Linked DNA regions of Pelodiscus sinensis. The protein of the gene in region 1 interacts with the protein of each later gene in a biochemical or structural test. Links are inferred from orthologs where the notes say so. Each region holds a gene or a part of one and is shown on either strand. Other genes may lie near its edges.

Region 1 (3,600 bases):
GCACTATGAAAGGAGTTTAAGGAAATTTTGCACTGTGTATTTTTCATAAACATGTAGTCACCGTGAAGGAAAAATGTACATTTAAGGCTTTTGTTTTCATCTTTCAAGGTCATTACATTTTTTAATAAATTGGTTAAACAGGAATCCAACTATGTAGGTTTACCTGGCAATAATTGGAAACATTGAAAAATATATGGGGAAACCCTTATTTATATGCCTCGGGACAGACCCAGGTTAAACAGCGTAACACACTTTGTGGACTTGGAACCGCTGCTTGCTTCTGTCTAGGAGTGTGTTTATGTTTCCCTTTTGCAGAATAAATGAACGATATACTAACACTTTCTTGTAAATCACACATGAACACCAATACAGAGTTACTTCCCAGGAATTGTTCTGCTGGGGGATATAACACTGACATCGGAAACGTAAACGGTAGTATAATGTATCGTCTCTAGGGATGCTACGGGACACCCCTTTTAAATATCTTACAAGTTGACTCATAGATGCACCCCTGCAATTTTAAAGGGGAAAAATTGAAACAAGACTTCCTACAGGTTTCTTTGAAGAGACAGAACCACACGTCTAATGATTTGTACTGGGGAGGGGGGAGAAATCAATATTTCTATTCTATTCACATAAACCAGTAAATAAGGTGCATTCCTTCTGCTTCTTAAGACATTAGCATTTCAAAAATATGCCACTTTCCCCTGAACTCCAAGCGTGTCTAATAATGCGAGAAGCAGATTGTCTCCCTCGTTTCCTTAATTTGTTTCATCTAAAAGCAATTCACACAACATCTTGTCGCCCTCTGGCAGCTTAGTTTACTTATCCGCACTTAATTTCTCATTTGGACCAAAACAAACTCCTCCAAACTGCTACTGACGGGGGAACGCTCAATACGGATATACTTGGGGAGAGCACACAAAAACGAACAGACAAATCATTGGCTTTGGTAGTTAGACCGAAATTAAGGGGATCTCTTTCCCCACCCCTCCCTGCACGCAGAATTGTTGCAATTTCTCAGCCGCAACCGTCTTTCGAGTCAAAGAAATCCACGAACTAGCTTTCCTCGCCCCTCCTCGCGCATCCTGGCTCGCCTGGTGTCTGAAAAACCCGAGCTTGGCTTTTGTGACACCAGCCTTGTCCAACATACACTCATCACATCCCACTGACTCGGACGGATTCGCGCGCGACGGGGACCCTACGGGAGGAGGCGGCGGCGCCGCGGGACTAATCTGGGGGGATATTCCGTGCCGGGGAATCCCGAGAGGGGCTTGCAAAGGAGAGTCCCCCCCAAGGAGCGCGGTTGAAAGCAGAGGGAAAACGCTGTAGGTTGCCCCACAGATATTCCGCCCGGCCAAGCGCACGCTGCTTTGGAAGGGGGGGGGGGGGCGCATGCACCGCCAGGTGGAAGGGGGTCTGCAGGGGCTCGAAGGGCACCCCAGGCTCGCACGCCGCGGGTCCGACCCCGCAGCCAGCCGATGCGTGCCCGCAGCACGGTGCGCGCACAAACGCAGGGGAACCCAGCCGCGTCTGGCAGGCTGCACGGGAGGAGAGCGACACGGACCCGTCCAGCCCACCTCGCCCCGCGTTCACCGGGGGGGGGCACCCTAGAGGATGGGCTTAAAGCCCGAGCGTTTTGACTCGGCTCAAAGTCTGAGCGGGGCAGCCGATTCCCGGGGTCACACGCGTCGGGGGGGGGGGGGGGGGTGAAGATGCCGCCAACCCTTGCACCAAGATGCCGGGCTGGGTTGTTCCCCGCTGCCCGCGTGCCGAGTTCATCCCGGGACCGGGGCCAAGAGCAGCTCAACAACTCCACAAAGTCCTCCGGGAGCCACGCAACGGGAGTGTTACGGGGGGGGGGGGGGGGGCTGTGCCTGGCTCCACAGCAGCCTGCCAGGGGAGCGCCTAACGCAGAAGGGGGAGGTTAACCTAGGAGCCCTGCATGCCGGGGAGGCCAGACCCCCTCCCGCCAGCGCTGCGCAGGGCGCCCGGGGCCGCACGCAGGTGGGGCAGCGAAGCGCCCGTCAAGCCGCCAGCTCCTAGAGGAGCCGTCCCGGCCCGCGGCACCGCAGCGTCCCCCCCGGAGCGGCCGCAGCTGGACCCCGGCTGCCCCAGCAAGGCCCCCCCCGCGCAGGGTCACACTTCAAGGGGGGGGTCGTCAAACCGGCTCGGCGTCGCGGCCACCCACCTGCCTGCGCCGCGCCGGGCTGCAGGGCGCCGGAGACCAGCAGGCAGCCGAGCCAGCACAGGAGCCCAGCGGCCGGCGGCTTCATGGCTGGCGGAGGGTCGGGCGGCGCGCTCACATGGTCCCCACGGGCAGCTCCCCCCGCGGCCGGGCGCGGGGCACCGGCGGCTTCTTCCCCACTCGGCCCGCAACAAGTGGCTCCCCCGGCTCCACTTTCTTTTTTCAGGGGGGGTTGGTTGGCGGTGCCCCTCCCCTTGCTGCTCCTGCTGCTTCTGCTCCGCTCGCGGGTCCCGGCGCTGCAGGGCTGCCGCCCGGGAGCCCCCCTCGCCTCCGCTCCCCGGCTGCTGCGCGCCGCCGCCGCCCCCCCAAATAATCCCGCACCGAGCGGCGGGGCAGGCTGGAGCGAGACACACACACCGCCGAGGCCCCGCCCCCTCTGGGCACAAGCCCCGCCCCGCCCGCCGCCGGCGGGGCCCGGCTCACTCCCCCCACGCGCGGCCCGGGAACACCTGTCACGCGCGCTTGGCGGGCGGCGCGAGCCCTGCCCCGGGTTAGCCGTAAGGGGGTGATATGCACTGGGCGCCCGCCGTGCCCCGGAGACGCGGCTTTGCAGTGGCCTGCCCATGGGCTCGCTGCGGGGGGTGTCCCGCGGCTGGGGGGTGCTGTGCTGCCCTTGTTTCTTCCTGCTCCGTGCAAGCGCGGCTGGGGGTTGCTTTCCCCTCCTTTGCAATCAGCGGTTGCACCTGGCTGAGCGCGGGAAGGGGTGGGGGACACAGGCACGCTGCCTTTTCCAAGCAGGCACCCCCCCCCCTTGCATTGGATCTAGGGGGGTTGTCCACACACACGCACCCAGCTGCATCGCCGCAGACAGGCTGGACCGCTGGCAATCCCGCAGCTTGCGGAGGCTTTTCCCAAACGCAGCTGGGTCCGCTTTGCAGCGTTTTCCGGGCAGCCCCTGCTGTGGCAGGCGGCGAGGAGCGTGAAGGGTTCGCTCCTGATCTCCCTCACACACACACACCCGCGCGCGCTCTGCAAGGGAGCAGACTGTCCACACGCAGCTTCTCACTCTGGCTGCTGATTGCCCGGGGCGGGGGCAGCTCAGAGAGGCTGCAGGTGGCTGGGTTCCCTTTCAGGTGGCATCATTTAAACAAGAGCCGTGTCTGCCGCGCCTATGACTCAGTTCGACATATGGGATTGCTCCCAAAATAATCCGAAGGGTGTTTTGCTTTGCTTTTGTTACTAAAGCAGCAAGGCAGGAGCTATTCTGGACTGAGGCTGCTGCCAGTGGAGGCTAATTAAAGTAATCTAGAGTATCTGTACCCCTGAGGTTTATCCTTGAGAGGAGCTGTTCCAAAGAGCAGGCGGCTTGCTGGGAACAGCCTGGCGACGTATAGACTGGCATGATTTTCCGC
Region 2 (3,818 bases), on another chromosome or scaffold:
TATAAATCCTGCCAAATCTGAGTTTAATAATGGAAATATTGACAGGCCCTTAACTACAGGAATACCAGATACCTGTGAAATACACAGCACATCTCTTTTTTGACTATCTAGATAAAGTGACACCATCTTATAATATCTTACTTTATAACTTATCAGCTAAATTCATTGCTTAGCAAAAACATACGAGAGGCAGTTTACAGAAATTTAGTAACAGCAGCCTAAACATTAACTTTTAGTCATATCTGTATCAGCATTTTCGTCTTGGCAGAGTCAAATTCCTTAAAGAACAGACTCTGCTACGGACTTATAATGGGGCCAATCCTGCAGATCTTTTTCATCTTGTACTAAAAACTTGCAGGATTGTACCCTGGGGCTGTGTCTACATCGGCGCAATCTTGTGCAAATACTCTTTAACGCAAGGGTTCTTGCATTAAAGTAGTTGCGCAAGAGAGCGTCTACACTGGCATGTGCCTTTGCACAAGAGATGTGCTTTTGCGCAAGAGCATCCTTGCCAGTGTAGACGCTCTCTTGTGCAAGAAAGCTCCGGGCTTTCTTGAGCAAGAAATTCATGTTGCCTATCTACACTGGTGTCTTGCGCAAGAACAGTTGCACAAGAGGGCTTATTCCTGAGCGGGAGCATCATAGTTCTTGCACAAGAAGCACGGATTTCACACATTAGAACGTTCAGTGTTCTTGCGCAAGAACTCCCCGCCAGTGTAGACAGGCAGCATGTTTTTGCATAAAAGTGGCTGCTTTGGCGCAAGATCGTGCCAATGTAGACAAAGCGTGAGTGTTCAGATTACAGGACTGCAGCAGCTAAATTATTTCAATTCAATTTGCAGATATGGTTAATTTACTGATACTTCAGCAAAGTGAAAGGCCTACGACCAGGGACAGAAAAACCCATGGGCACTAGAATTAGTTTCTGCTGTGGGAAATTCAATCCTATGGAGTCCAATAATGAAATGGTGGAAAAACCACATCCAGATTGTTTTTTTTTTTTAAGTTTGGCAACAATTCCTCACTCCCTCTCCACGCAAATAAACAAACTATTTGACTATTACATTAGAGAACCAAATCCTTTTGTTTTTTCGAGTGAAACATTTTTAGGAATAATTTTAGGGCCGTTAATTCTCTCCCCCCCCCCCCCTCCCCACACGCTGGGAAACAAGAGTGCAATTATTGGGCTCCCAAGTAAGGTAGCTGGGGAGTGAGAGCCCCTGGCGGAGACAGGGCCTAATGTGAGTGCAAAAATCAGCTGCTGAGACTGGTAACTCCTGCGCCGAACTAAATGTAAAGTTTCCAAAGTAAAATCCCGAAGGGTCCCAAAAATAGGCACAAAGAAGCGAGCACCCCCGTCATAAAAGGGCAAGGGAGCTGCCCCACAAGACTCCAAGGGGCGAGCTCCCCGGCAAACCCCGAGTGCAAGGGGGCCCTGCCCCCACCCATGAGGGGGCGCTCACTCCTCCCCACGAGTGGGGGCTGAAGAGATCCCACACACGACGGGGGCCGAAGGACAGACCACCCCCTCCCCGCACACAGGAGGAGGAGGGCGTTCCCCGCCCCACACACACAGGAGGAGGAGAAGGGGCGACTGAAGGGGACGCTCTCCGATATCCCCCCCAACACACACGCCCCGGCGCGCCCCGCCCCCACCCACGAGAGGCGGGAGAGTCCCCCCCTCACCTGGCGGGAGTGGGCCTTGGGCTCGGGCGGCTTGAAGAAGGAGTCGGGCAGCTTGCGGAGCCGCATGGGCAGCGTGTGCGGCACGTTGGCGCCTTTGGGGTTCATCACCGCGTTGAAAAGCGCCTCCAGATCGGTCTCCGAGTCGCCCCGCACATGCACGATCTGGTGCCCGGCCGGAGGAGGCCCCGCGCCCGGGGGCTGCCCCGCGCCAGACTGGGCTCCTGGCGGCTGCGGCGCTTGCTGCTGCGCTGAAGGCTGCGCTTGCTGAGGCTGCCCGGGATCCATGACTCCGCGTCCGTACCGGGGCTCAGCGACTCAGATCCCGGGCTCTCCACCCCACATACCCTATTGCCCTGCCGGTGCTCCTTCTGCTGCTCTGCCCCCCACGCCCAGCAGCACCAACGGGCAAAACAAGCCCGACCTAGCAGCAACTTCCCGGAGCCCGGCCCACCCCTCTGTCCCGGCGGCGGAAACTAACTCGCACAACTCGCTAAACAAAAGTTCTGAGATGTGCCCGCCCGAATCACTCCCAGCCAGCTCCGCCCCTCGCGGAGCCCGCCCGCACCGTTTCCTGCAGCCAACTTTTAGTCCTACTGCGCCCGCCCGCTCAGAATCCAGTCACAGCCGGGTACCACTATCACTGGCAGTTCTTTATGCGCCCGTCCGCATAGAATCTGGCAGTCAGCGGCCGCCACCAAGTCGCGAGCAAACTTCCTCTCGCGCAACATCCCGGAGAGCCAGCCCTTTCGCAACCGCCCGCCTCATTTTTTAATCCTCTACTCCCGCCCGCCACGCTGCCCTTCAATGCTGAAGTCCATGCATCGAAAAGTTTAAAATAAATTCCTCCAAACTTCCAGCCTCCTGCTGCGCCCCTCCCCCCGCGACCTCCGCGCTGGAATGGGGAGGGAGAAAGACGCTTTATCCCCAGAACGGGGAGGGGGTCGGCGGAGACTTTTCCCAGCCATGGCCCCCGGGAGAGGGAGGGAGAGGCGAGGGCCTCCTCCCCTGAATGCGGGCGGGAGAAACGTGGCTTCTCACTGCTTCCCATTCTATCCACGGAATTAGATAGAGGTGGGGAGGGGGAATCGGAGAAGAAAGAAATTGGATCTCTGGTCTCCATAGGGGGTGGGGAGAGCTGAAACCCTCCTTCTCACAAGGGAACCTAACCGCACCCTCCAAGTACCACTATGGAGACTAATTTTAACGACTAAAGTGGCGTTTCTGGTAGGGTAAATTATACAGTTACATTCAAAACAGATTTTTCTCTAGTCAGAGCTTACTATGGGGATTGATCACCTTTCTGATATAGAGTCCAATGGAAACAATTCAGTCAATTTAACTTACTATACACCCACTCGAGGTTGATTCAACATGCTGCTTAATACATACCTGTAAGCCTATAACACAACTATTATTTATTAACTAATTATATAAAATAAAATGTTAACATTTTTGAAAAAAGATGGAGAATAACAGTTTTAATGTTTGAGGATTTTGAAACACAACAGGTAACAATGTGGGGGTGGGGAAAGCAAGATTAATGGATCCTTTTGAGTTCTATGCAAGTTACTGCAAGCCGCATTCAGATAATATGATGCACTCACTATGGCCCCAATCCTAGATTTATGCACAATTAGTTTCATTGACTTCTAAGGGGCTAAGTAAAAGTATGTACAAGCATTAGGGTTTGCAGGATCTGAATCTTACAATTTAAAATCAATGTAACAAAGCTTTTAAAAACATTTTATATGTAATTATAATTTGTGAACATAAAACATCCCTTGATAATAATTCAAAAAAACTATGTTAAATGTATATTGTAGGTCACATTTTTGTGTAGGCAGGCAATGTATATTTCATTGAAGGGAATGGAACTATGAAAGTGTTAATTGATTCCATACAGAAAGAAGAGCTCCTCCATTCCATTATACCACTAATATATAGAACTGGAGATTAAGAATAGTCACTTAAAAAATAAGCCTCCACCAAAAGAATGGTACAATACATGAATATGTCGTTTCAGGGGATCCACAATCAAGTAGGCAAATGTCTGTTCATGGCTATTGGTTGAAGGATAGCACATACCATCATCATCCTGAGGAGAGGAAAATTCTAGTATTAACAACAAACTA

What was found. The genes of interacting proteins can lie anywhere in the genome.
Region 2: the proteins of ERBB4 (region 1) and YAP1 form a complex in vitro, tested with the Homo sapiens proteins (2 studies listed by BioGRID and IntAct, with this or other methods). The link is inferred for Pelodiscus sinensis from reciprocal best matches to the Homo sapiens genes ERBB4 and YAP1.

The regions. Positions count from the first base shown.
Region 1 is NC_134717.1:59,548,675-59,552,274, forward strand, and holds the start of ERBB4 (receptor tyrosine-protein kinase erbB-4), read right to left. Parts: upstream 2,623-3,600; 5' UTR 2,277-2,622; coding exon 2,192-2,276; intron 1-2,191. UniProt on the Homo sapiens protein: Tyrosine-protein kinase that plays an essential role as cell surface receptor for neuregulins and EGF family members and regulates development of the heart, the central nervous system and the mammary gland, gene transcription, cell proliferation, differentiation, migration and apoptosis.
Region 2 is NC_134711.1:304,440,514-304,444,331, reverse strand, and holds the start of YAP1 (transcriptional coactivator YAP1), read right to left. Parts: upstream 2,431-3,818; 5' UTR 1,972-2,430; coding exon 1,687-1,971; intron 1-1,686. UniProt on the Homo sapiens protein: Transcriptional regulator with dual roles as a coactivator and corepressor. Critical downstream regulatory target in the Hippo signaling pathway, crucial for organ size control and tumor suppression by restricting proliferation and promoting apoptosis.